Ovis aries: one gene and its partner. The protein of the gene in region 2 interacts with the protein of the main gene of each other region in a pairwise test. Links are inferred from orthologs where the notes say so. Each region holds a gene or a part of one and is shown on either strand. Other genes may lie near its edges. The genes, in order: WTAP and WT1.

Evidence for each region.
Region 1: the proteins of WT1 (region 2) and WTAP interact in binary tests that used the Homo sapiens proteins (3 or more experiments, as listed by UniProt). The link is inferred for Ovis aries from reciprocal best matches to the Homo sapiens genes WT1 and WTAP.

What each region holds. Positions count from the first base shown.
Region 1 is NC_056061.1:83,752,345-83,766,878, reverse strand, and holds part of WTAP (pre-mRNA-splicing regulator WTAP), read right to left. Parts: intron 13,380-14,534; coding exon 13,342-13,379; intron 11,576-13,341; coding exon 11,520-11,575; intron 8,241-11,519; coding exon 8,182-8,240; intron 6,910-8,181; coding exon 6,782-6,909; intron 3,287-6,781; coding exon 3,108-3,286; intron 1-3,107. UniProt on the Homo sapiens protein: Associated component of the WMM complex, a complex that mediates N6-methyladenosine (m6A) methylation of RNAs, a modification that plays a role in the efficiency of mRNA splicing and RNA processing.
Region 2 is NC_056068.1:61,979,965-61,994,961, forward strand, and holds the start of WT1 (Wilms tumor protein), read right to left. Parts: upstream 6,757-14,997; 5' UTR 6,654-6,756; coding exon 6,608-6,653; intron 5,954-6,607; exon of another isoform or gene 5,903-5,953; intron 5,696-5,902; coding exon 5,573-5,695; intron 5,160-5,572; coding exon 5,057-5,159; intron 4,203-5,056; exon of another isoform or gene 4,103-4,202; intron 1-4,102. UniProt on the Homo sapiens protein: Transcription factor that plays an important role in cellular development and cell survival. Recognizes and binds to the DNA sequence 5'-GCG(T/G)GGGCG-3'. Regulates the expression of numerous target genes, including EPO.

The DNA of each region.
Region 1 (14,534 bases), on a different chromosome or scaffold from region 2:
CAAACAATTGTAAAATCAATAGAGCAATTTGTGACCTGACTTAACCTCCTAGAAAGTACCAAATACTAATGAAAAAATATTTCATTTATGAAGTCACGCCTTTTAATGAATGTTCTAAAAGAATCCTATCACTTCTAAAATAATTAAAACAAATCTTCACTGAATCTTTTCTTTAAACATTCTTTAATTTTATGCCACTTTACTGTTGTATAAAATTTGTGTTGTGTTCATTATATCACAAAAAATGGTAAGAATCCAATTTCAAGGAACTCGGCTCTGGAGTAATTTTTTTTTTAATTAAAAAATATTCTAACCTATTGCTAAAAATCAAATAACTCACAAAGAAAAAAGTAGCAAGTAATTTAAGAGAAGGAACAGATACTGTACACTGCTTTGTTATCAAGGGGAAGGGATGAGGGTATTCTGAAAGTATACACACACAACTGTTTATAAATGCAAGCTGAAAACTGTCAAAATTCTGCAACATCTCCCTGTAACTATTCTAAAATATACACACTATCAGGGTATGAAATATTTTAACTAAAGTGGACAACATAATTCAGGGGATCATTCTCTCAAAATTTAAACAATGAAAAAGTGAAAAACAAAACCCACACAACCCATTCTATTTGAATTATTGCAGACAGAGTATTGACGGAGCACTGTTTGTTTCAAATTAATGATGCAGTTGTACCACCCAATGAACTCTAGCTTATAATTCACTTTTTACAAAATTCCATTTATAGGTGGTTAAAATAATACAATGAAAATATTATACAACCATTAAAAATGGTAAGTAACCTAAATATACTAAGAAATGGAGAAAAAGTCCAAGGATAAAGGGGGCCTGGGGAAAGTCATGCTACAAATCATCTGTATATACATATGCATGTCCGCATTTGATTAAAACCAATACACATATAGTTACTGTAAATGCATACAAATTATCTTGATACCCAAGAAATTTAAAAATGGTCACTATTCCTGGGGAACAGAAAGGGGAAGGGGAAGGTCACCCAGGAGTAAAACTTATTTTACACCTCGACTTTTCGCTGTTTCAATCTTATACATGAGCATGTGTTATCTTATTAATTAAACGTTTTTTAACAATAAGAAGAAAAAAACCCACCTCAATGTGACTGTTACTTAAGTGGCAAAAGAAAAATGCTTGGCTAAATCTGAGTACATAATACCTTTTATGAATTATCTCGACCTACTGAAAATATGTAGCCCATTTCTACTGTGATCTTTAATGGCATAAAATATATACAAAAGCCTTAATTCGGGTACAATAAGCTAATTTCAAATAGATGTGGTTACTTACCCTCCAACCCCCACAGTGAGAATCTTAGAAGCGGATTTCTTGCTGTGAAGTCACACAAACCACTTCTTCAACCCGCCCTCTGCCCCACAATCAGTTCCCTCAAGTACAGACATACGAGATACTTACAATTGATTGGAATGATTTAAGAGAGAACTTAAGTCACCCTTGTTAAAACTGCACTTAAACGCTGGGAAAATCTGGAACATTTTATCTTCACTCATCTTAGACTCCATTATCACCAAGTGAAAATTCGAATTGGTGACTTATAGAATGATCTGACGGAAAAATTCACCTCCAGGATTGGATGGAAGCATGAAGAAAATAATGCCTCATTTATCTAAATGAGCAAATGAATTTGCTAGAAATGATCACTATACTTTTTTTTTCAATTCATAAAATGTCTCACTTAGGCCAGCCCACAGTTCCAATATATTCTGTCCCCAATCTTCTGGCAGGCACCCTGTAAAGCTGTCCCACATTAATTTCTACTGCAATATCCTGGGACAAGGTGTCAAAAAGCAACAAGTGTCAAGTCTCTTTGTTTTTTTATGATACCAGCTGGAAAAAAGTAGGTCTTTAAAAAATGAGACACAGAGCTTTCTCCTTCACTTTGAAGAGCACACCAACAATTTTTTTGAATCAATCTGCTCTCCACAGCGCCCCCCAATCAAAATGTTAAAAGTACAACAAAATCATCATAGTAATCCTTGAACTTAAAAAAAAAAAAAAAACAACTATTTCAAGGCACATTTAATTTAATATCAAAAGTGCAATACAAAAGGCCCAAATACAATGAAGGAACACATTCCCCCATTAACACCAACGACAATGCTCTTTCAACATGTGCCTGTTGAATGGAATGGGGATTTAATCAATTTCACTACTGAAAAAAATAACGCAGTGAGTCTCATCACAGCCAATATCCTTATACAATCTAGTTGTGAAATGAATGTTTATAACGCTTCAAACAGTTTAAAACCTGAAGTTTGACACCACACCTTCATGTTTGTACAGTCCTCGGTAAGATTATCTACAGTATTAGCAACCATTCAAAGAACAAATCATTGAGTAAAACCACACTGATTTAAGGCTCAATCAAGTAATATAGAGCCCCAAACGAAATGGTTAAATAGATGAACTACTTGTACTGACATCTATTATTTGATTCACTCATGACTATTAAGTTGGTTCTTAGCAAATAAACCCTTTAAAGGCAAAATTCACCTCATTTGAGTGTGACCCAGAAGTTCAACAACAATCACGAAGTCCACGGTCTTATTGGCAAAACTGATATACAGTGTCTCTAAGTCACTATGCTCAAGGTTAAGAGCGATGCATATTCCATCTTTACATTTACTGGAATTTTACATGTTCAATTCATGGTTTTAAATCTCTAGGTTTTCATTCCTCCAAACTGTCTGAAGACACAGTGTGCCACAGACTTAAGACTTCTGTTTCTCCCTGTATTTTCTTCAAACAGAAACATTTCTCAAGTGTCTACATGTTCTAGAAGGGGAATTTTTCGGAGGTGGCCACTTCTTCGGAATAGTCCGACGCCATCAGCCTCTGAAGCAAGGGGAAGGGGAAGAGAAAAAAGCTGAAACACAAGGTTCATCTGGTAAGTTTTACATTAACCTTTACAAGCTGGATAGTATAAGAATGTGGCTTTTTGGCTCAAAAAGTCTGAGTCTTGGTGTGGAAACGAGTACGTGGCTGTCCCACCACAGCTTTCTCGCAGTGGGACTGTCAGGGAAGTCTTGACTGGGGAGTATGATTTGTTTACCTATCAGGCGTAAACTTCCAGGCACTCAGTTCATTTTGGGCTTGTTCCAGTTTGTCTTTAGTCTGTTCCAGTTCACTTTTCATTTTTAGGAATAACAAGTTGATCGCTGGGTCCACCATTGTTGATCTCAGTTGTGCAACGCTAGGCTGCTGGACTTGCTTGAGGTACTGGATCTGAGTCTGTGCAAAGCAAAAAGACCCCATTACTACCAAATCAAAGGAAACATACCTAAGATGATGAGATAAAATCCCTTTTTCACTGGTTTACCAACTTGCTTACTAAGCCCCTCTCCCTTCTATCTTAAAATCCTCTAAAACAAAGTACAAATTAAGAACTATTTAGGAATTCCCTGGCAATCTAGCGGTTAGGACTCAGTTGCTCTCACTGCCAGCGCTTGATTTCAATACCTGGTCAGGGAAGTAATATACCAGAAGACTTGCAGCAAAAAAAACCTCCCAAAACATAGCAAAAAAAACAACCACAAAAAAGAACACTCACAAAACTATTTAAAGTTATCCACGTAGGAAAAAAGGCCATTTGACTGCATTCCATATTTGGAAACTTTAAATATAAGGAGACTACATGTTGGCAATCAAAACAGTACAAAAAAACAAGCAAAAAAACCCCGCTGCTGTATTTATTTAAAATGCTGATGCCCACTGGGGGAAAAAAAGGGCAAAGTTTAAAATATTAATTATTTAATAAGAGTATAGTGATTTACTCATACAAATCTGTGCTTTTGGGAAACTATTCCCTAACATTATACCAAGTACAAGATTACAACTTAAAACATATTTGCATTTCTAAATTTAAAAATACATAGTACTTACATATTTACATGAGCTGGCATTACAGCTTTATAAATAGCACCTTAACCCAAAATTAAGCATATATTCACTTTTTTCCCTCCAAGCAGACTTGAATCACAGCACTGTAAAGCTGAAAGGTGACTGACCTGGTCCAAACTGCTTAGTTTTGAGAGATTAAAGAAGCCAATTGTTCAAGGACACAGTTAGTTCAATGCCAGTACTGGAACTAGAATTCTTATTCTCAAGCTTCCTGACTCCCAGTCTAAGGCTTTTCCCACCACACCAAATCCGTCTACTTATATATGAAACCTTCAATTTCAACTCTGGTTGTACTGTCAGCACAGTTTTAAAATAGGAAATACAGTTTATTAGCATTAAATGCATCACTTTCTTCGCACCCAAAGTAGATCAGGTTCAAGATCCTACTCCATTCTAAACCTTAAATAGGATTAAAAATAACATTTCCAAAACAGCTATTAATGTCTAATATGAATTTAGTAAAAGATACAAATATACTAAGAGGATTAGGCTATACTTAATTACTACTTCATCAAGCAAACAGAACTAATTTTCTTTCTTTTAGCTTAAGGAATTTTAAAAGTTCACAAAATGAAATGCCCTTATCTGCTACTATAAGCTTGCCACTTCCTTGTGATTTTTGCTCCTGCTGCCCTTTCTGCAAAACCTCACTGTGTTCTAACTGAAAGATCAGTAAGTGCTTCGGCTGAGATGTGCAGAGAAGAGTTATTAAAAAAAAATGTGGCTGGTAAGTTAGGTTCTACTTGGAAAAAAAATCTTAAATCTCTGTTGAGATGACAGAAGGGTGAAGAGGCAGCACCAAAGGCTTAGATTAGGAATAAAATGATCAAAACTGCCAGTGTATGTGGGATGGCTGTAGAATCGCTGAGGTGAATCAACAGCACATACTGTCCAGGTTAAGTGGTTCAGAAGTGCCTGGACTAGGATGTCAAGAGTAGGGAGGACTCAAGAGGCAGAAATCAAGACACACTGGTTTTGTGAGACACTATCATTGGCACCACCCACTCACATTACCTACCAGGTGCCTGCATCTGGAAGTTAAGATCCATCCTTTGCATGTGTTAGCATCTAGCACAGTGCCGTGTCAACAGGGAAACCTAAAACTAACAGTGAGTGAAGGGTTGAACCTAGAATCCTAAATATCAGGAAAAGAAAGAATTAACTGGTTTTGGGACTCAGCACTTGAGTAGTACTACTCATACCACTAGATGTGAAAATCCCAAGAGGAAAAAAATTGGAGGGGTGTCACAGAAAACAAAACAAAACCCCTTATACAAGAATGTTGTTAAGACTTCTTTGAACCAAGTACCCAAGTTAAAAAAAAAAAAATCAAAAGAAGGAATGCCAAAAGCCAAAGCTGGGGAAAGTGAAGACATAAAAGTGATGAGAAAGAGAATTTTCTTAATACAATGACCTTACAGAAAAAATGTAGTGGCAGTGAAGGTGGAAAGTAACTGGTAGAAACAAAAGAAGCACTGAGAAGATACAGACAATAAAAGAGGCTACTCTTTTCTTTAGCAAAGTAATAGGTAAAGTCATTTCGAAAAAGTGAAGAAAGGACTGAAGACTTGTGCAAATGTGGACACAGGAAGAATAAAGACTGTGACTAAGTCCTAAAGAACATTTTATTGGTGAGAGAAGGAAAAGAAATAGAAGTGTGCCCCATAGATTATTAACCTCCAATGACCAGAATACTGCCTTATGCATTATATTTTAATAACTATCTATCAAATGGAAATTACACAAAATTATTCAAGAAAACTACAGCTTTTAAGATTAGAAACAACAGGGAATTCCTTTGTGGCACAGAGGTTAAGACTCAACGTTTTCACTGCAGAGGCCTGGGTTCAGTTCCTGGTTTAAAGTGAAAGTTGCTCAGTTGTGTCCGACTCTTTGTGACCCCATGGACTATATAGTCCATGGACTTCTTCAGGCCAGAATATTGGAGTGGGTAGCCTTTCCCTTCTCCAGGGGATCTTCCAAACCCAGGGATTGAACCCAGGTCTCCCACATTGCAGGTGGATTCTTTACCAGCTGAGCCACCAGTGAAGCCCAAGAATACTCGAGGGGGTAGCCCATCCCTTCTCCAGGGGATCTTCCCAACCCAGGAATCAAACTGGGGACTCCTGCACTGCAGGCAGATTCTCTAGCAACTGAGCTATCGGGGAAGTCTGATTCCACAAGCTGCGTGGCATGGCCCGAAAATGGGGGGAAAAAAAAAAGTAATAAAAAACAACAGGGATAGAGTTGCCTCTATCTTATGTAACTTACATATACAAACACTAAAACAAGGGCTAAGGCTATTGAAGACAAAACTGAGTCTAAATTCAACCAGGGTCAAAGGATCAAATATGTCACTAGGTTTCAGATATATGTAGACATGGCAAACAGTACAAATGAAAGGTGTTAACAATTAAAAGAAGACACAGTAGAAGTTGATACTTAGTTTTCTGTAGAAAGAGGTAAAGACAGAAAAGGAGAAATTAACAAGAAAGCCTGCCAAGTAAAATGAGTAAATGGTGCTTATACCCTCAGGTATTATGTTACTTCAAGATATATGAACCAATATACTAATTCTCATAGAGATTTCAGAGAATAACTTAAACTTCTGACTTCTTGGCCACAAAAACTACTTTAAATCCAATGATGAGAAGTTATCTATCAGAATTTTACATTTAGCACATTGAAGCTCAAAACATATCTACCTTAACAAAATGTGCATGTATAATTAGTATTAATTATTAAAATTAATGTGAGTTAACACATAAAATAATGTGAACCAAAACCCAAACCCTGATAAAGGCTTGAAACATCTGAAACACTTACAGTACACTCTTGCATTTCTTGCTCCTTGGTTGCTAGTCGCATTACAAGAATGTTTTCCCTGCGTGCAGATTCTTGCTGCTGCTGCTTTAGTTTTTCTTCAGATTCCCTTAAGCCAGTTACATCATTAGCTGATGATTAAAAGGAAAAAAAAAAATCCCAAACATCATGAAACATAATTTGAAGATCAAACTGAATTAACCAAATTAAAGTTCTGACTCCCTTTGTCAAGGAAAATAAGGTTAAAAAACTGTCAAGGCAAAGAAGTTCAAGTCTTTAGTTTCTATCCTAAACTTTTATGACAACAAACTTCATTCTTGATCATGAGTGTTTTTTCAAGAGTTAGTGGTGTTAAACGGGTCCACAACCACTTAACGCTAGATGGAATTATGCTGTTATAGTCTAATCTGTTCCCAAAAAAGACAGGAAATTCCATTATTTGCGTTTGTTTACACTACCAAGTATTCACAAAGTCCTGATTAGTATTGTTTAACCTAATCAATATAAACATGCCCATAACTGCACAGCTAATTATTAATTTTAAGCTTTCACAGGGGTTTCCCTGGTTGGCTCACTGGTAAAGAATCCACCTGCCAATGCAGGCGATGCGGGTTCAATCCCTGGGTTGGGAAGATTTCCTGGAGTAGGAAATGGCAACCCACTCCAGTATTCTTGCCTGGGAAATCTCACTGACAGAAAGCGCCTGGAGGGCTATAGTCCATGCAGTCACAAACGAATCAGACATGACTCAGCCATTAAACACCACCATTCACAACTTCTATGGATTATACTGTAATTATACAATAATTGAGATCTTAAAATATTAATCTTTCTGAACTTGGAAAACTGTACTGGTTTTTACACTCGCAAATAATATGTTACTCTAAAACTCAGTGAAAAGTGACAAAGACTAAAATGGTCTAAAATTATAAACTTTATTATTTTCAGTAGATTTTTGAAAAATCCATAAATACACAGCTATATCCTATTGTTACAATTTAAGCTATCATAAATGTAATACTGGTTGCTTCTACATTCCCCCCTGCTAGAGTAATAACTCATGCTTCACTTCAAATTTTTCTGTGGAAGGGCTACATTAAGCAAAGTGTCAAGTAGTTGTGAATTTCCCTATCTGTGCACTCTCAGAACCTTGTCGTTCAGTTTGAAGTCATGCTACTGTTAAGTGATGTTACTATATGTCAGTCTTCTCCAATGACTGTTAACTAAAAGAGAGATCACGTCTCCTTCATCATTCTACTTCCTAGCACCAAACTCAGTGCCTGGACATAGGTCCTTAATAAAATCCTCGAATAAAAATTACTTAGCAAAACCAACTATGCTTATAACAACAATCTAAAAGGGAATATTCACATAGTCCTTAGGAAGCTGAAGCTCTAACTTACAGTTGAGATCTGTGTACTTGCCCTCCAAAGCTTGCACATATGCTTCATACTGTTTCCACCTAATAAAAATAAAGCCACATTAGTTATGTTTAAACTGCTTTTACTAAATACACTAGAAAATCACATCCATTAACTTTATATTTTACGAAGAACTCCACTGTGTGGATTTTAATGTCTCTCTCATTTTAACAGGGGCTTCCCAGGTGGCACTAGTGTAAAGAACCCGCCTGTCAATGTAGGAGACACAAGAGACTCCAGTTCAATCCCTCAGTCAGGAAGATCCCTTGTCGTGGGAAATGGCAACCCATTTCAGTATTTTTGCCTGGGAAATCTCAGGGACAGAGAAGCCTGGCAGACTTACAGTCCATGGGGCTGCAAAGAATCAGACATGAATGAGTGTACATGCACACACATATTATTTTAAGATAATTATAAATCTAGTTTAACCCATAATAAACCATAATAAATTAGTCACTTTAAAATTATTCCTTCTTGACCTTATAGGCGTTAGATAAATGGAAATATAGAGAAAAGTGTTCTCTGCTGAGTATATAACAAGAGGTGTTCCCATGAGTCAGATCACACACCATACAGGACAGTGTATCACTGATGTTCAGCATGATGCCTGGATGATAAAAGGTAAACGAAAAACTTACCACCACTTTTCAGATATGCTGTCCACCTCAAACAAAAGGCATTTTAAAAATGTGCCTAATTCTAAGGGACTGAAGGTGATCTCAGCTCTTACATGAAAGTAGTATGTGATTTCTCTCAAAGTAATAAAAAAGGGGATCTGTCCTTTTTGTACATTATAAAAAACAGAACATACTGTTTTTCAAAAGCATATCTAACTGGCAGAAACAACTTGCATTAAGTGCCATACGCTATCTGGATCTTTCTTCATTGCATTCCTCTACCTTCAATATATAGGCTTTAGGACTTCCTTGGTGGCGCAGTGGGTAAGAATCTGCCTACCAATGCAGGGGACACGACTTTGATTCCAGATCCATGAAGATCCCACCACCTCAGAGCAACTAAGCCCATGGGCCGCAACTACTGAGCTCACTCTCTAGAACCCGTGTGCTGCACTCGCCTAGAGCCTGTGCTCTACATGACAGAAGACACTGCAATGAGAAGCCTGTGTACCAAAACAGCGAGTAGCCCCCGCTCTCCTCAACTAGAGAAAGCCTGCATGAAGCAACAAAGACCCAGTGTAGCCATTAAAAAAAAAAAAACAACCTCTCAGGGCTTCCCAGGTAGCTCAGTGGTGAAGAATCCGCCTGCAAATGCAGGAGTTTGAAGTTCCATCCCTGGGTCAGGAAGATCTGAAGATCTTCTGGCGAAGGAAATGGCAACCCATCCAGTATTCTTGATGGGATAATCCCATGGAAAGAGGAGCCTGGTGGACTACAATCTATGGGGTCGGATACAACTGAGCGCGCACGCACACACACACATACATACACACACACACACACACACACCTAGTTGATCTAGGCAACTACTGCAGATAACAAACCTTCCCTAGTCTTATGTTTAAGCAATTGCTCCGGACAGTAAGCTGTCTGCTACCTTGCTTGCTGAAGAAATATGTTTTCAAGCTGCTCTTCAGTTACACCTAATCAAAATTTAGATTTTAGAAAATATTTTTATAATTTTTAAAACCTTTGACGAGTTACGAGATTCATAAACATTATAACATAATGAACAAAAACATTCCATAATATCAAACTAATCCATTCTATATAAAGACAAAGCCAAGGGCATGCTTATTTTTATGGCATCTACAACAAAGGTCACAAACAGGAGTTCATTCAACGTTTCGGGATGAAAAAAGATGTTCTATGAAGGTTAAAGATTTTAGAAGAAAAGACAAATACAAAAGCTCAACCGCAAACATCCTTATCGAGAAGATAGGAAAAAAACTACTTAAAAGTCATAACCATACCAGAGACAGAAAGAGAACACCAACACACGAGCAGTGTGTCACGAGCATCTACATCAGCAAAAACAGCGAGAGTGATTTAAAATGCTAAGTATTTAAATTTTATGTGCAGGAATATAAAGGTATGCAACAGGAAAACTATCCTATGCATGAGACGATGGCAAAGAAAGAGAAAGAGCACGTCCACAATAGAGGCGCTAAGCAGAACTAGCTACCAGACTCTTAACTAACAATGGAGCACGCCGTCTGTGTCTCCCTGTTGTGTATGCGTGTGTGCTAGGTCACTAAGTTGCGTCTGACTCTTCGCAACCCCATCGACTGTAGGCTGCCAGACTCCTCTGTCCATGGGATTTCCCAGGAAAACGTACTACAGTAGGCTGCCATTTCCTCCTCTGCGGATGCTCCCGACCTGGGGATCGACCCCACACCTCCCGCTCTGGCAGGCAGATTTTCTACCACTGAGCCCAAACCACCTTTACTCTCCCCCCACTTCCAACCCGTTACATTTACTCAGTTCAGCAAGTAAACATTCCCTGAAATTTCTAGAGGAAAAAGCTCAATAAACTTGCAGCCTACCCTGAAAAGCATTAATTTGTATCTAAAAGTTATTTCATAAAAAACTTACGACAGTGATAAAATGCAGAAAGAATACATTTAAGTTGTAAAACACAAATGTGTGATCCCATTTTCTGATTTCTCACATTTAAAAAATGAGTAATATAATGCTGTACCTGACTGTCTGCTTTAGTAAGACATTTTTAAGACAACCATAGAAATTCGGAGCTGGATGTCGTCTTTAAAAGTAATTAAATCCAACTCTTTAAACTTGCAGATAAAAAAATGAAGGATATAATGGTGACTAAAGTCACAGTCACAAGACGAGTAACTTCGCTTCATCAGTAAATAATGTATTTCTCTCTTTTTTTTTAATAATGTATTTCTTTCATGAGAAAAATATCCTTGAAGGCTACAACTTTTCCACATGTTACATGGAAAAGGGGGAAAAAAAAAACAGAAACATCAAAACAAGTCTATTCATTTGTTAAACTGAAAGCTTTCTGAGAGCAGTGTCTTTCCCCATACCAAGTTATATACATGAAGTACAAATGCTTCTCTAGTTAGAGTTCTGAATATGTGCCCTCTACAGGAAAAAAATTCAGGTTACTTGTCAGCCTACAAGTTACCCAAGCTAGTGCTTTAGTTCTTTCAAGTGTTATGCTTTCCCCAATGTTTACACAACGAAGAAACAGGCCATAGAAAAAAGTATATTAAATGATTTGAAGATGTGTTAACATTAAAAATGCAACAGTATCTGATATAAACAGTATAGTATAAAATCACAACGTAATGCTCTATAGAAAGATTTTATATTTTTGATAAAAGAATATTTTACCTTAGAATTAATTCATCTCGTGCCATAACTTTGAAGTCTGTTTCACTCAGTCGAACCTACGAAGAGAATTAAGATATAAACTAAGTGCTCTTTCTAAAAGTTTTAAAATAAGTAAATAAAAAAATAGTGGCAATACCAAATATGGAGTGAAGATGCAGAGAAACAGTGTTCATATGTTGCTGCTGAGAATGTAAAATGATACAGCTGCTCTGGAGGTAATTTGGTGGTTTCTTTTAAAACTAAAAATGGATGTTCCACACAACCCAACATTTGTACTCTTAAGCACATATTCCAAAGAAATGGAAATTTATTTTCACACAGAAAGTTGTATAAAAATGTTAACAGCAGCTTTACTTGTAATAGCCAGAAACTGGAAACCACCCAAATGTCCTTCAACAGGTGAATGGTAGACTATGATACCATGAAGTATGATTCAGCAATAAAAAGAAACAGACCGCCAGCAAATACAACTTGGAGAAAGCGCAAGGAAATGATGCTGAGAGAAAACTGAAAGGACACTTAATACAGCATAATTGCATGTATACAACATCTGTGAAGTAGCATAATTACGTAAATGAAGAAATGATTAGTGGTTGCCAGGAGTTGAGGATAGAGTGGGAGAGGATGGATGTGGCTATAAAGAAAGGAGTGGCATAGAGAGGCTTGTGGTGATGGTTCAGGTAACTGTTTTGGTTGCGCTGGTATTTACAGTAAGTTACAAATGATAAACTTGCACAGAACTATACACACACAGAATGTACAGGTAACTGATGAAATTTGAGCATGTAGACTGTGCCTGCTGGTTTTGGTAATGTTACACAGGATGTTAACGTCAAAGGAGGCTGGGTGAAGAGTACACAAGACCTCCCTGTGCCTGTCTTTGCCGCTTACTATGAATTAACAATTATTTCAAAGTGAAGTTTTTAAAGATGAGGATATTCTAATAAGATGAAACTGCTTTGTAAATTGAGAAATATTGTTTTCTGTAAGTAAAGAAGACTATAAAACTGAAGAACCAATCCTAATATAAAATTCTTATTAATTTTCCTTATTAAAACATTTTTCTTGATAAAAACGGTTCAAATAGTAGCATTTGCCACAATGTAAGTGTTACTATCAGAAACAAAAGAGGGAAAAACACTGTAGCAGCAGAATATATTACTAAGCCTAACTGAAAGCACCCAGTAACTCTCAGATTATTAAAGCACTTGACTTTTTAGGATAAAAATTTCCATAACGTTTACTATCCAATAAATAGTTCACTTAAATACTCACTGGTTAGAAAGCACATATTCCTGTTTTCCCAAATGCATTATAAATTCCTCTGAGAAAATGTTATTCCTTTTGTAACCCCTTTTGTGTGTGTCACAGTGCCTAAACTGAATTAACATAGGAAAACAAAACAAAGAAAGTGATAGTAGAAAATAAAACTTCACCAGAAAAGGTAGAATTTAGCTGTATTTTTTTTTAATATAAAAGTGGTTCTGCATTAAAACCAAAGGGATTTAAGTTAGGAAGAAAAAGAAAATAAGTAACTTAGAGGACCTTATAAAATACTTTCCTATTTTGACATTATTTGTAGCTACGTAGCTGGAGACAGTCATATGATAAAGATTACAAGTAGATCATGGGGATACTACAAGTTTTCCAAAGGCTGAAAATGTTCTTAATCTACATTACATAATAGATATGATGTCTCACACATTATATACCCACAATGCTATGTAACTGATAGCAAGCGGGAAAACAAGCAAACAATATGGACAGTCCCTTCAACTCTACTATTCAAATAAAGTGCTTAAAAAGTGCTAAGAAAGCAAACCTTTTTGGGAAGAGGTTCTTCGTTGGTCATCTTGAATCCTAGAAAAGGAATAAAGAGAAGAACGTCAACTGATTTTCCTCCAGTTAAGGTAGAACAAAATATACTGGCTTTTGCAAAAGAATTTATTACCGAACTCAGGTATGACCAATTCATTAGGTTATTCTAATTAAAACACACCTTTCAGACTAGTTTTAGATTTACAGAAAAGTTACAAAGGTATCGCAGGGTTCCAGTATACTGTGCACCCAGGTTCTCCTTTGTGAACATCTTACATTATGATTGTCATTAGGTTTGTTTTTTTTTTTAAGAATTCTCTCATAAAAAAGTTGATCATTCTTTGTAATACTCCCACAAAGGATTGAAAGAAATACAATTTTTCAATGCATTCTTACAACTGCCCTGTGAAAGACATTATCTCGCAGCAGAAAGGACAGATCTGTGCTGAAGTCAGATACTGGCCTCAGGTAGTAACACCAGTTGCTAAGCCTTGCCTTTTACAGAATTAATATTGTTACAGTAAGGTCAAGTTTATCACTGTCATGATTCACCACTATACAATGCAGGAATGAAGGTATTTACACCTTAATAAAATATTCCTACATTACAGACATTATTTAACTTTATGTCACAGAATAATCTGTATCTCAAAATTAGCTTCTTTGTTATTCCTAGATATCCCTTCTAGTAGCAAAGTCATATATGTCTCCTTATATCTTAAACTTTCTTTTTAGTTTATTTTACTTACCCATACTTATTACAAACTCTGTAACTATTAAAAAGTTAACCAAAGAGAAATAAGCAAGTTACAGCGATGTGATGTACAGCACAGGGACTATAGTCAGTAACATCTTATGTATTTGAAAGCTGCTAAGAGTCAACTTGAAAGGCTTCATCACAAGAAAAAAATTTTGTAACTATGCATGGTGACGGATGGTATCTAGATTTATGAGTGCTTCTCTTGCAATGTATATAAATATCAAATCATTATGTTGTACACCTGAAAATAATGTACGTCAACAATACGTCACATGTCAGTACCTGAATAAAAAATAACCAAAGAATCTAGAGTATAAAACTGAGTTTTAAAAGCTACGTGACTTTTAGTGAATATCTGAGATTCCTCAAAAGTAGATGATCTTTAATACCATTTTTTATATTACATACAATCCCAACTCAAACATCAAATATTTTAA
Region 2 (14,997 bases):
TAGGTTTTTCCCGCTCCCTGGAGACAAGTTCAAATCAAACCTTTCTTTGATAACACTGCCCACCACCCTGGAAACCATTTCAAACTTTCTGCCTTCATGTCTACCTATATGGGAAACAAGTATTGTCTTAAGTGAAGCTTGTACAGCATATCAAGTATTTGTAGACAAACATGTAAAAAGAGACATTATTATTATTTCTTCAGGTGAGAGCTCTTCTCTGATTTAATTCTACGCTGAAGGCCAACCTAAATGGCAGATCATGTACTTCCCACTGACTAGATCCCCAGAAGCTCTATAAGCTGCTAGAAGCTTCTCTCACATGAAAGATAATCCATATAGTAACAGACTCCACTGTCAACTTCATCTCTGGTGAATCGTCACCATTCAATCAAAAGTATTCAAATCAGCAACTACTGCTTCTGCATTTGAAGTTTTATCTGACAAGGGGCCAAAGGAAATAAGCATTCTCCTTTAAATTGGCAGGACAGTTACTAAAAATGGATACGCAAACCTAGTAGAAGAACAAAATGAAAAGGAAACTATAATGTCTAAAAAGATTAGTGCGTGTGGGAATATTTTGCAGGCCCAGAACTCCTTTTCAAAGTAGCTGTGAGAATCAACCCATGAAATGGGCATGGTCAAGGACTTCTGGCTTTAAGGGGCTCAGCAAGCAGCAGGAGAGAGGGGACTTGTGGAAGAGGATTCAAGGGACATGAGTAGGGAAAGCCCTGCTAGCTGCCTGTTGTAGGTCACCATCAGGAGAAAACTGTGCTTAGCGGGGTTGGACTTCACTACTTCTTCCCCTCAGAGGAGCATGGAGGTCCCACCTTCCCTGAGACCTTGCTCTGGGCAAGCAAAAATCAGGGAGGCCCTGGAAGCTGTTGCTCCCCCTGGGTCTGGATGGGTGAAGAGGAAGGTCTCTGCCATTTCAGTGTGTTTCTTTAGGAGCCTGAACTGAACTTCACTAGTTCTCACTACTGGTAAAGGCAAAGCTAGAGGAGTCTGGAGTTTGAAAGACGGAGGCTTTGTAAGTTAAAGACTTTTTGGAGTGAAAGCTCAAGTTAGCTCTTACAGTACTGACTGATGAAAATACTGCCTCTGATCCACAGAGCGATTTTGATTGAAAACTATGGATAAAACGAAAGGATAATGGGGTTTCTTTCACAGAATAAAGACCTTCCTCGAGCAAGACCTAGGGCAGACAGCACCTTTGGAAAGGAAAGGGCCCTTAAGCATCAGGACAGGCAGCCAGGTGCCGGAGAGAGGATGGATGCAGAGCCTCACACCTGTTTTGTCCCATACTGTGTCTTACCAAGCAAATTCACCTCCAAGGGCCTCAGTTTACTCCCCTGCAAAATGGGGGTGATAACCTACTGAAACTCTCAAAGTTTCAGATTAAATGTAAGTCTTACATTTAATTACAGATTAAATGTAAGATTAAGTGCTTAGAATGGTTTCAGGAGGTAGTAAGCTTATGTAAGCAATTATTAGCAAAGGTGCTATATAAGAGGAATATTTCAGGTGGAGGACAGTGAGTGACCTGGAATCCCTGTGGGCTTTAAAGACAAGAGAGACTGAGAATCAAATCCTAGTTCTGATTCTCATTGCTAGGTAACTTGGGCAAGTTACTCTGAGACTCTGAATCTATCTCTTCTTTAGCAGAGTGGGGATGGGAGTACCAACCTCAAAGGTAATCAGAAGAATTAAAATGAGCCACTTGAGTGGAGCAAGTAGCACAGTATGCCACAGCATAAAATATGCAATAAAGCCTAGCAATGATGTATCGGGGCTTGCGCTTTCACCCAGCTATGATCGCTGGGCTCCAGAAGGGCTGAAATCTGGCTCCAGAATCCTTAATGACCTTCAGAATAAACTCTGCCCACCCTCAATATGTGGGGTGAGGGGGGCAGAGAAGACAGAGAAAATGATCTCTTAACACTTCCCGTAAGTAGACTGGGGTCATTTTTTATACACTATTCATCACATCTGTATACAGCTATACCTCCTCAGATCTGTTACCTGAAAAAGAGGAGTCACTTTACAGTTCTCTCCAAATAGAGAATTTTGAGAATTTTCTCAAAGCAAATTCACATTGTGTAGTGCTTCTTTAATGTCAGTGTATATACCAAATACACTAACCCCAGACTAAATCCAAGACTGGGGAGACAGAAGCAGCTTTGGAAGGGCAGGGCAAAGAGTCCTGGCAGGCTGCCTTAGCAAGTGCAACAAGGCAAACAAAATACAAATTCAAAAAATACAAGCAAGCCTTTCCCAGAAGGTCCCAATGTTAGACAGAAAAGGGAACAGAGCCAGGGACCACTGAATACCTAAGTGATTAAAGTTTAGTTGCATTTCCTATGTTTTTCAAAACCTGTATTCACAAAAGCATTTAAATAACCTTTCAAACTTTTTTAGAAGTAGGAAAGAAGGAAATGACACAACAGTAGTAAAGTGGATGCACATATCCTAAAACATCCCTACACCTGTACATCCATCATTACTGCAGGGGAAGTATCTGATTTTTGAAAGGTGATTAGAAATATTGTGAATTTAGGGTGGATGGAGTTTCAAAGACTCAGGCAGCACCAACTTCAAGGGAGCAAACTTTTCCTACAGGGGTCACAAATTGTTTTTTTCAGGAGATGTTATTACTTAGAAGTTTTTCTATAACAAGAGAAAATGGTATTTTTATGACATTTATACAAAAGTGAGCAAAGAAGTTCCAATTATGTAGAAAGAAGAAAGGAATAAGCAAATAACTCTGAAAGATGAACCTGACAAAAGTGCTTTATACAGCAGCCAGTTAGAAGATGGATTAGAAAATGTGAAATTTTTTATGTATAAAAGGCAATCCAAGTGACTTTTCCTACTTTCATAGCAACCACAAATTCAGTGGAAAGTCAAAATCCACCACAGGGACTCAGTCTGGAGAACTGCTGTTAAGCCAGAGGTTGTGATCACTTTATCCCTGACTCCTTTCTAGGCTGTTCAGTCCCTTCTTAGAGACCCACATGGTGGACTTAGCCTTGGAAGAGGGGGGAGTAAGAAATGTGTGTAGCTGTGTCACTACTGAATCAGACTCCAAAGCTCCCCAGTCCCCAGCCTCCAAGGAGGTATCCCAGCCCATTTAAACAGCACCCATTCCAGCATCAAGGTCTTCCTCTCTGCGTGGGGTGAGGCATCAACCAAGAGCCAAGGAGGAAGGACTGGGCCAAGGTCATCCCACCAGGAACCATTTCAAAGCCCGTCCCACCCCAAGGCTAGAGTAAGAGCAATGCCAATCTGGAAACAGGCAGAAGCAGCTCCTTAAAAAAGATGGCAATGATCCCACCATCTCAGTTTTGGTTGGGGAGGTGCTGTACAACAGATATTTCAGATTCTGTACCCATTCCAGTGAGCTGAACCACCAAGGGCAAGTGCAGAGATGTCTGCCCGGAGCAGATCCCTGAGCCTGCTGTACCAAGAACAGAACTGGGTTCTACCAGCTAGGGAGGGAGACAGGAAGATGAGAAGGTGTGATCATTCAATCTGTGCCTGGGCAAGTGTTAGTAGCTCAGTAGTGTCCTGACTCTTTGCTACCCGATGGACTGTAACCCACAAGACTCCTCTGTCCATGGGATTCTCCAGGCAAGAATAGTGGAGTGGGTTGCCATGCCCTTCTCCAGGAAATCTTCCTGAACCTGGGCAAACTACATGCTTTATTTTTTTCTGCTCTCTCTCCCTTAAAAAAAAAAAAAAATCTAGTGAAGGTCGGGCGTAAAGAAAGAAAAAAAAATAAATAACAAACGTGATCTTGAATCCAAGATCAGATTAGATATGCCGGATTTCCCCAGTCAAAAGGAAAGGTTTCCGAAGTCTGTGTACTCTAGGCCTAGAGAAGTAGGTGGGCTGGACCCTGTCCCTCTCCAGGATGGGAGAATCAGACCAGTGTCCTAGGCTCGGTTTCCTAAATACTCCGGGGCGCTGGGGTTGGGATGAGCCGCTGTGAGCTCGGAAACGAAGACCCCCTTCCCCTCCTCCACCTGTGGGACTGGAGGGCCCCCAGGCGCGGCCATTCCTTCCACCAATCTCCCAGGGCAGGCGCTTTTCCTTCCTTCATTACCTCACTACCTCCTTCCCTTGACGTCAGCCCCGGGTCTTCCAAACGAGGGGAGGGAAGATGGAGATGAGTCTGGGGCAGTCGGTATCAGGATCCCCGCAGCACCGGGTCGGGGGTAGGGGGTGGAAAATGAGGTAATGCGCGCCCAATCCCCGGCCTCAAAAGGCCGCGAGCGGCCACTTCCCTCCCGGCTCCGGCGGGTGTAGTTACTAGGCAACCCTATCGGCGACGCGGGATGCCGGCCAAGTTCACCCAAAGTTGAAGAATAAATTTGGGGGAAGAGAAGGTGGAGGGTGGAGCAAGCGCCGAGGAGGCACGAAGGACAGGAAAAGAGCTTGGAGGGAGAAGAAGCTGGTTTTCCGCCTCCCGGGATCAGGAAGAAGGGCGGGCGCGGACTGGAGCTGTCTCCCCGGAGACACCGCAGCCTCCGGCCTGCAATCCCGCACCCCGTCCGGGGCTGCGGGGCGCTGCCGCACCCGAGCCTCTGGGGGACTGGGGTGGGGAGAAGGTGGTGGCTCGAGTGTACGCGCCCTCGAAATGGTCCCAGAGAAGGCTGGCGAGTGTGTCCAGCGCGCGAGGAGGGGGCTGGAAAAGGGAGACAAACTCGCTGAGTGGGTGGGAGTGGACCCCGGGTTTAATCTTTGATCCCGAGGAGGCTGAAGTGCTCCCAGCAAAGAGCCCTTCCCAAACAATAAAAATAAAAATAAAATCCTCAAAGTTCCGCTCTTCGGCTCCAAACGGTAACCGCCCTCATTGATATTCAAAGTAAGACCACCAGGAGACCGGGGAACCTACGTCTTTCAGATAGGAGCCAAGAGATGGGCTTTAATTTGCTTCAGGGAGCCCAGTGGGTTCGAGGCGCCTGTGGCCTCCAGGACTCGCACTCCAGGGCCCGCCAGCTCAAGCGCCCCCTCCGGGATCGCGGGGACCCAGACCCGGTGCGGAGCGCCTTCCTACCTGCTGTAGGGCGTCCTCAGCAGCAGGGCCTGGCTGCCTGTGCAGCTGTCGGTGGGCGTGTGGCAGCCGTAGACTGGGGGCGGCACGGAGTACTGCGGCTCCCCTGCAGAGAGCCAGGAGGGCCGGGTGAGCGCGCGCAGAGGGCTGGGGGTGCGGGGCCGCGGGCGGGGGCTGGGCCCCCAGGCTGTGCAGGGCGCACGGGGGCCTGGATGCCCGGGCCGTGCCGAGAGACGGGTGTCCAGATCACAGCGAGCTAAGCTTCCCCCTTTACCTTATTTTAAGCAGTCACCGCACAGAACACGGAAAAGACCCTCTGGACATTCGCAGTCTCGGCGGAGTGGGGCTAACAGACTTGGAGTGGGGGAAAACAATCTTTTCTTTTGAGATTAGGCTATTTCTAAAATTCTTCTAGCTGTCCTCTTCTCCCTTCCCCAATTTGCTGTGGGTTGGAAATTCCTGGGGAGGCAGGGGTGGCATGGAAGAAGGGGAGAAGCCCCCACCCCCACCCCGGCTTACCCAGCGAGCCCTGCTGGCCCATGGGGTCCTCGTGCTTGAAAGAGTGGTTAGGGAACTGGGCCGCGTGGTGCGAGGGCGTGTGACCGTAGCTGGGCGTCCCGTCGAAGGTTACCGTGCTGTATCCTGCGGACGAGGCCGAGAGAGAAACAGCGTCAGCGGGGAGTCAGGGACCCTGGGAACCAGAAACCGGGCGAGGAGCACCCAGCCCCGCATTCAGATCCCGCGCCCATCAGCCCCCAGGGAAGCCGGGCCCAGTGTGACTTCGGCTCATGCTCCCCGCCCTTTCCCGAGTAAACTCCAGACCTCCCCAGAGTTTCCCAATTTATTTACGCCCTTGTCTTTCACGACGTCCGCGGCTTCTGCACCGAACCTCGCCAGTATGAAAACTTTCAGCCGCTCGGCGGAGAAAGTCGTTCTCCCCCCCAAAACAAAACAGCGCGGTTCTCGCGCAGGGGCAGCGGCGGGCGACCACAATGGATCTGCTCGGCTGACCCGGCGCTGACTCGGAGCCGTAAATCAGAGGCCCGCGCACCAACTTTCATTAATTACTCGGGGCCAGTTAAACGGCCTGGGCTTTAAATGGGGGAGAGTAATTACTGAGTAATGTTATCTGTCTGAGGCTGCGCGACCCGACACCACTGACACCCAAAGCCCTCGGGAAAGCTGGTGAGGGGAAAAAAAGGGGGGCCTTTCAAGTTGGGCCCGCGGGCCTCGACCCTGCGCCTTCCTCCGTCCTTCCTCCGACCCAGCTAGCGCCCTGCGGATCGGACTGTGACCATCACTGTAGGGGCCGACTTCCTCGCGTCCCAGGCCGGGAAACCTTTTTGTTTCAGAGTGTGCCTGACAGTGTACTTCCCTTTCCATACATGGTACGCACGGGGTCCAATGCCTCAGTTTCCCTGCCGAGAAACCGAAGGCAATGTCGCGGCATTCTTCCCCAGCTTTCCGAAGGTGAGGGGGGAAAAAACGCGTGTTGGTGGTTGAAAAAACGTAGTCTCCTGTGATTACTGTCACCAAAGTACTTGAAACATTTACCCCACTGGCTTCTGCAAAACCGTAGCTGCCTCTGGGGGAAAAGCATCCTCCAGCTAAGATAAGGATCAGTTCTGAGTCCTGAACCCAATGGTGGGGTCCTTTCCTGGAGGCAGGGCTCCGTAGTCTCTGAACTGAGGTCCTGGCCAAGTGAGGAATATTAGTCCAGAAGCTCACACCAGCTCCCTGCAGGGCCACTGGGCTGAACCCAGTCCCCCCACCCCGCCCTCGCTGGGCCCCGCCTCTTGCACTGAGCTGAGCCTCCAACCACCCCCCCTCCTCAATTCTTGGGAGTAGGGTGAGTCAAACAACCCTCATTCTCCAACTCTTGCCCCAGGCATAATCAGGGCTCTACAACAAACGTCCCTGAAGACTTAGACTGAATAGTGAAAGGTAAAACCCACGTCTTTTAAACGCCCCCCCCACACACAAAAAAAACCAAAAACAATAACCAAGCTTCTACAGTCCACTTTGGGGAATGTGGTGTGTTAAAGAGCCGTAGGGAAGGTTGGAGCAGGTCTTAATAAACGAATTGTACAAGTCTTTCGCACCAGTTGGCGCCACAGGTTGACAACTTAAGAAGCCACCAGCTTTAGCAATTTGCATGACCCCAGAGGCCTCTATTTCTGGCCTGCTAAGTGGGCAACGATAACCCCCGGCCCGCTAGCTGTCAGGAGTGGGTGAGCACGCTGGCGCTTCCAGGCACTTCCTTTTGGGAACGGAGGCCGCGCTGTTTGAGGCCTACCAATCAGCTGACAAGCGAAATTTGGCTCGGAGCGCCCAGTCTTACAGGGGGAAGGCCGAATTTTGAAAGAACTGTTTTTTAAATAAAGAGGAGAAACAGGAGCGACAAAGAAGTTGTCTCTAGACGGACCCTTCTCCATTCCTGAGCCAGTGGCCGGAGCACCGTGCTGTCCCCGGAGACGGCCCCCGCCACCATAGGTGCGCGGCGAGGGCCAAGGGGTTGCGGGAGGCCGCTCCTGCGTGGATTGCCTCAACTCCGCGCCCCGCGAGGCTCCCAAGGCCCCCATCCCCGGAGAGGGGGTGCACATCGGTGAAAGCGCCCTCATAGAGGAGGGGAGAGGGCCCTTTAAATTAGAAGCTTATCGGATGCGGGACTGATTAGAGCGCGTGGTCCCGGGCCTTGCACTGAGCCAAGCGCGGAGAGCGCGGAGGCGGGGGCCGGGGGCCGGAGGAGAGACAGCTGCCGGCCAAAGGGGACAGCGTGTTCAAAGATTCCTTGTATTGTTACAGGCCTTAGAGGGAGAGGCTCGAGCGGCCAAGGTAGCGCCTTTCCCACGGTTCCTCTCGGCCCGGCAAAGCAGTGCAACCTTGACCGCGTGGAGCAGCGACACACGCTTTGCGCTTCTCTCCCCCGCCCGCCGCAGCGGAGGAGTCCGGGAACAGCATGGCCCGCGGAAGCTGACGGGTGGAGGGACAGCAGGCTCAATCAGGAAGGTGGTCCCAAGGGTTGAAAATGATGACTCCGCAGCTGCGGCAGCGGCAGCATACGGGAAGGTTATCTAGCAACGAAATACCCTCTCCAAAGCGACCCGAGGGGGGCGCCCTTGGCCCTAGGGCTGTGCTGGTGTCCCCCTGTGACAATAGGTGGCCCAGTGATAACCAGGTATCCTCCAGGGATAGGGTTCTGAGCGTCAGAGGGTCTGGGGAAATCGCTCAAGACTCTCAAGCAGTCTTCCTCTTCCCTTCCGAAACTTCGCACTTCAGTTTGGGAATGCAAGTCCTCACCCTCCTGACAAACTCCCCAAGGGTCACATCCAGGCTACAGTGGGTTCGGTGCCTGTCCAGCAGGGAAGAAGAAATCCATCTCAACATGGAGGCCAAGATCCCTAGAAACGGAGGTTGAAATAGCCTAGAATGGTCTGGGTTTGGGTCCAGGTTCGGCCAGAGAGAGATCTCCTGGACACCTTATCTCTTAGAGTCTAGATTTACTCCAGTGTCAGGCTGTGAGCTTCTTGCAAAGGATAAGACATTCTCTCTTAACATTCAGTCTCCAGTGCCTGGCACAGAATAAGTGCTCAATAAGTGTTTCCTGAATGAGTATTTATAAGCAAGATTAGAATACAGGTATAATTAAGAAACTAATAAAAAACTCAACTGAGGTATGATACCTTGGAGTGGGGAGATAAGCAAGAGTGCCAGCAATTGTCTCCTTCCCTGAGCCATTGAAGGTTGCCCTGCGTAGAGACTGGGATCCAGAATCTTTACTCCTCTCCCCTGGAACTGACCTTGGCCAGCTGATGGGCTGTGGGGAAGGAACTCTTGCCCTTGCTTTCCCCAACTCAAGCCTCCCGCCAAGACTCTACATTCCTGGGGGAGCTGCAGGAAGCCCAGAAATCAAGAGAATAAATCTGAAATCTCAGGGCCCAATCTGGTTGCCAACGCCAGGGCTGAGCCACGAGTGGCTTCTGACATCCCACCCCAACTCCCAGCTGCCAAGTGACTTACAGAGACTGGGCAAGCATGACCCCTTATGTTTTCATCACAAGAGAAAACCCAAGCCTAAAGACAGGAACCAGCTTACAGGCTGTGGCCTGGGTCTGTGGCCTCTCTACTGAGCAATTTCCCAGAATGTTGGGGTGGGGGAGGCTCCTTTACCTATTAGTCGTGGTCCCCAGTTCCCAAGCCCCTTTTCTGTTTGACATCTCAGGCCTATCCTCTAGAGAGGAATTAAGATTTTTCCCCTTACGTGTAGTGCTGGCTGGCTAGGAAGCCCACAGTCTCAACCCTGAGACTTGAGTTGATGGAAATCTGGGCATCAGATGACCCTGTAGAAGTTTGGACACAAGGACCCAACCAAAGCCACAGAGTCCTGGTTCCAAAAACCCTACAGAACCTAGATGGACTCAAAATGATAATGGTATTTTGCACACGGGGTACTTAAATGGTTTCTAAGGTGTCTTCAAATAGCACACTACCAAACAGAGACTCACTCACCTCATACACCTGCCTGCCAGTCTTGCTCTTTTAGGTCCAACCAAGTTTAGGTGGCTGCTGCCTTCTGTGTTTAGAACCCGGGTTGGGGGGCGGGGGCGGAGTCGGACTTATGTAGCATAGAACTTCAAACCAGAGTCAGACATCAGGTTGGGCGTCTTGGCTCTCTTACAAGAAAGAGAAACTGAGACCTGGAGATTTACCAAAGGTTACACCAACGTGCTAATTAGATGTGGTACGATCAGAGAACAAGAGTCTGCAATCCTCACTGAGATGTTCCAATACTCCATGAGTTCCAAACACTAGTTTTCCTTCACGAAAGACTCAGAGTGGAGGGACCTCATGGGTGGGTTTGAGGTTTTCCACAGGACATGAATCCCAGATTCCCCGAACGAAGAGAAGAGGGTGGTTTCGGTTTCGCCAGAGCTTCTGGCGGGCCAGGTGCTCTCGGCTGGGTGTGAATGGGGTCGCGCGAAAGAAGATATGCGTTTAGAACTTGCGCGGGAAAGCGGGAAAAACACCGCCCTTCTTCCGCGCTCCTTGGGCGCCCCAGCACCTCCTGCAAACAGTATGCACTCTTCTGCTCCCAACCCACGCATTCCAAAAACAGACTAGTCCTAGGCCCGAGCGAATTTTTGCTCTAGGAAAAGCATCCGCTCCTGCGTTTTTAAAGCATCTCCTAAAACATCGAATCAACCAGAATTGGTTTAGGTTCACAACAGCGCATATGTCTAATAAACAAAATAAAATGCAGAAGTTCGGCGTAATTGATTCTGCTTTGGTCCCTGAGAAAAAGCGGGCGACGGCTCAAGATGAGAAACCTACAGCTGTGTCCCTTGCTGTACGAGGACTGAAAACGGAAAATAAACCTCTCTTTGTTTTAACTTTCAAGTCTTGCAAAAATCTTTCTCCAGCTACAACCCGGGTTCAACGACTAGGAGGCGCCTGAGGCGGGCTGGAAGGAAGCCGGCGCTCTGGCCTCATTTCATCGCCTGTGGTAGGACCCTGTCGCGCAGGGTTTGGAATCGGATAAACGGGGTTCTCCTCCAGCCCTGGAGCCCGCGTGGCCGCACCTGACCTGGCACCCAGGAGCTATCCACTTCTACACTACTATACACTGGAGCCAAACGCAAACAGGGACATGGATCTAGGAAAGCCACTATTTTGTCTCCAGCTCATTCATTTACTCATCCTGGGGCTCCAAGGTACTTATGGTGCCTCCATTAGGGCCAGAGGGGCTCCTGGCATTTTTGGCGGGCAGACGCAGCAAGGGCTGCTCACCACGCGCTGGTCCGACTCCGAATCCAGGGTCCTAAAACGCCAATGCTTGCCGACAGTTTGGTGGTGCCTTAGGCGACAAAACCTCTTCCCGAGGCAGAGTCAGGCATTGCACCGGTTCCCGCTTCCCATCCCCACGGGGAATAGTCTGGGAATTTCCTGGGGTCCAAGGGCCCCCAGATGACCTCCCGGCTCATGCGAAGGGTCCGGTTCCCCGGTTCCCCGCCCTGGAGGATGTCGGGAACCCACGCCGTGGACTTCCTCCTCTCCCCGGGCCTCCTGTCTCCCCCAGCTGCGGCTTCCTCTACCCTCACAGTCCTTGGGGAGGCGACCGGGTAAGAGCTGTGGTCAGGGAAGTGGTAGGACAGGGGAGTGCCCGCGCGCGGTCACAGCCCAGCGGCCACCGCCCCGCGTGCAGGGGGCGCTCCCCTGCCCGCTTACCCTGGTTGCGAATAGCGGGCTGGCTCTCGAGGCAGCTGGGCAGGTAGGGCGCGTTGGGGAACATCCTGGCCTGGCCGGACGACGCCTGGCTGGGCGGAGGACCGAAGGGTCCGTAGCGACAGGCTCCAGCGGTGCCGGTAAACTGGCCAGAGAAGTGGACGGTGAAGGCGCTCAAGCACTGCTCCTCGTGCGGCTCCGCGCCTCCCCAGCTCGGCTCCTGTTTGATGAAGGAGTGAGGCGGCGGCGGCGGTGGGGGTGGTGGCGGAGCCGGCGGCGGCGCAGGACCGCCCAAGGACCCGTAAGCCGAGGCGCCCGGGGGCGCAAAGTCCAGCACCGGCGCCCACTGCGCCGCGCCGCTCACGGGCAGGGCGCAACCGCCGCCGCCGCCCAGCGAGGGTACGGCCGGCAGCAGCGCGTTCAGGTCCCGCACGTCGGAGCCCATCTGCTGGGACTCAAACCCGGACGTTCCGCGGGCCCTCCGGCTTTGCAGACGCTCGGCGCTCGACTCCGCCTCGCCTAACTTGGCCCAGATGCTTTCCGGACCCCGGATCCCCGGCAGCTGGGGCTGCTGAAGGCACCCAGGCGCGGGCCGGAGCGTGTGCGAAGACGCCGGCTCCGGGGCACACGTGGACGCCGGCTCTTGCCGCAGGAGGAAGTCCAGGATCGCGGCGAGGAGGCGGCGGGGCCCCGGCTCCTGGGCTGCCGTCCGGGCTCTGGGTGGGTGGGTGAGTGAATGAGTGGGAGGGAGGGAGGGACGGGGGGAGCGGATAGGCGGTCGAGTTGCAAGAGCCCCCGGGTGTGGGCGCTGCCTTGAACTCCTTACCCCAGCTGCCTGGCTGCCCCCAGCTTCTCAAAGCTCAAATAAGAGGGGCCGGCGGCGGGGGAGGAGGAGGAGTCAGGAGTCTCGGCGGCTCCATTCACACAGCAGCCCTAGCGGATCCAGGCAGGGCGCGCGACTCCTTGGGGGCGTCCTCGCAGTGGGGGTGGGGGGCGGGCCAGAGGGAGCGTCCCTCTCAGAGACACCCTCCTCTCCTACCCGCCACGCGCTCTCCGCTGGCCTGTGGGACACAGGCCTCCCCCCCCCCCCAACCTCCCCTTCTCGGCCTTCGCGAGTGTGGGCGCCTCGCGGCACTGGCGAGCCGCTCCAGGTGAGCAGGGAATGTCCCCCCTGCATCCCTGTGTGGTGAGGGTGGGGATGGGGTTGTTAGTCGGGGAGGGCGGGTTGGAGGGAGGGGCGGGGGGCTCCACGAGGGCGGGAACTTCGGAATAGCTGCAGAGAACTTTCCTGGACTTCAAAAAGGCGGATTCCTTGCTTTGCGCCGGCGAGTCCGGCTCTTGCTTCAAGAGCCGTCAGACTGGACTGGTGGTCATAATCTCAGAGTCACTGGGGAGTGGGGTGGCTTTTTGTGGATTCCAGAGGCCAGACTCAGGCGTAGATGGGTGACCTGGAGGTTGCATCAATTTAATAAACGGAGCGTAATTCCATTGACTGGCGACATGGTGAGGTTTGCGCCCAGAGAAAGGCGGTTTCCGCGTACCTGAAATCGGTGCCAGCGACACTTCATCTCCCTTTCTAGTGAGGAGTATCTAACTCTTCGACGGTGACGCCGGGAAAACAGAATGGCGACTAGTTTGGGAGGAAAGAAAACCCTTAGGGAAATGCCCAGATTCCGGTCGGAGAATCCTGGCGCCGAGTGTGGAGGGTAGGGAGTGAGGAAGGTTTGGATACGAAGTCCTTGGAGGTGAGATTGGCTCCCGGAGCGGCTCCTGCTGAGCTCTGCCTCCGCTCATTCCAGTCGGGAATACCACTCTGGATGCGTGGTGACTGCCCAAGAGGCACAAGCCAGGTTAAGGGGACGGAGGAGAACCTCAAGCGGCCCAAGGCAGGGTTCTTACGGTTGGGAGCTCCCAGAGCCTGGCGCAGCCAAGTCAGGTTCCTGGCTCCACCTAGTCATTCTTTGGGGGTCCCACGCCCCAGAACAGGTGTTTGAGGTTTTGTTTAGTTTTGTTGGTTTTTCTAAAATAGTCGGCTTCTATCGGAAGACAGACCCTAGGCTAGAAGCCTAGGGAACCGGGCTTGGAGTGCGGGAATTCTAGAATCTGGGAACCTGGATTGGAGTGCGCTTCAGGGGCGCGTGGAAACACCCAGGAGGCTGCGGCGACGGCGCAGCCTGGGACTGCCAGGAGCCCCGGGCGCGAAGCGGCCGGGTGCCGCTTGGCCTCTGACACGAGGCTGGCCGCGGATGGGGCCCGAATATGTTCAGCCAAGCCCATGTGAAGCAACAATCAAGGTGGTTGCAGTTTTATAAAGAAGCTGGGCGTTTTTAAAGCCTTGCTTTACTCACAAGGAGCTTTGGTTCTAATTAATTTGCGCTAAGTAAAAGCCAGGAGTTCTGGGTGCGGCCCCGCGGCGTGTGTGGCACCTACACGCTAAGTACAGGACCCTCCTCTGGAGGTCGCTTGTCCTGGAAGCGCAGGAAGCCTTGAGGGCAAAGGTCGGGAACAGGCGCTACCCATTTGATACCCGGACCACGTTCGCAGTGATGGACACCTTTCTGCACGACTTTGGTGCCTGACTTTTCGATGTTTGCGCTCAGAAGCTTTTTCTTTCTCTTTTTAAAAAAGTGAAAAGGCTCTCGAGGCCAGCTCCTTCTTGCCCACACTCGTTGTGGGCCGCCCATTCCTCTCCCGCACGCCGCATCTGTAAACCTGAGCAGGGCTCCAGCGCTGGGCAGAGGACATGGGCTTTATGTCTTTTTGATGGAGAAAGGCCTCTCGAGATAAGGCTTCTCAGGCCAAGTTGCCCCCTAGGACGCCCCAAACCCCTGTCTCACACCCTTCGTTCTTACTTATACTTCGAAGTCGTTTTTTCTTCAGGAGGACTCGCTCAAGCGCTGTGAGGGAAAGCGAGCCATTTATGAAAAGCCAGGGATTTCCACTTCTAAACGGGAAAGCTTGAGATTATTTCTTTTTTATCCTTCTTTGCAGTTTGTTGGGGGTATTTGGAAAAGGGTGGCTTGATTGTGACCTTTTGTGGTTTTGAATCCTAGAGAGAGCGAGAGCGCTTTACTCTCTGACTTTAAGGGGGGAAAAAAGGTTTCGCCTGGGGGTGAGGTGAAAGGAAGGGGAGGGGGGCTAGGAAATTTAGGACTCTACTTGTTGCCTGAAAATTCTTGAGGGAGGGAAAAGCAGTGATGCGATCCCCATTTCGACTCTGGGGTACCCCCTCGCCCAGACCTTGTAGTCCGAAGCGGTGGGAGGAGTCCCTTGCAACCCACAGCGCAAAGAAATAAGTGCTGTGCATCCGAAGCCTCAGCCTCCCCCCGAGATGAGGTCTTCGAAGGTCCCTCGGCCTCGCCCGCGTCCGTGCCCTGAGCCCAGGCGCCCCGGAGCCAACCCTGGAAAGCCGGCAAACTACTGCGCTCATCCGGCGCCCTACGCTCTCCACTTTTCCCTCGGTGAAACAACGTTCTCAGCGGGCGCTCTGCGGTTCCCCAGGGGACGGGCACGCTCGGCTAGCCTCCGCGCCCTGAGCTGGGCAGGCAGTCTGGTTGGAAAGAAGATCCAACCTCTGCCCTCCCCAGCAGGTAGGGCGATCGGCGGCATCCCAAGGTCCCAGGGATCTGAGGGCTGCGGAGACCTGGCCACTCCTTTCTCTCACTCACCTTCCCAACCCCCAGATAGCGAGGACACCTCTGGCAGAGGATGTGGTCTGAACC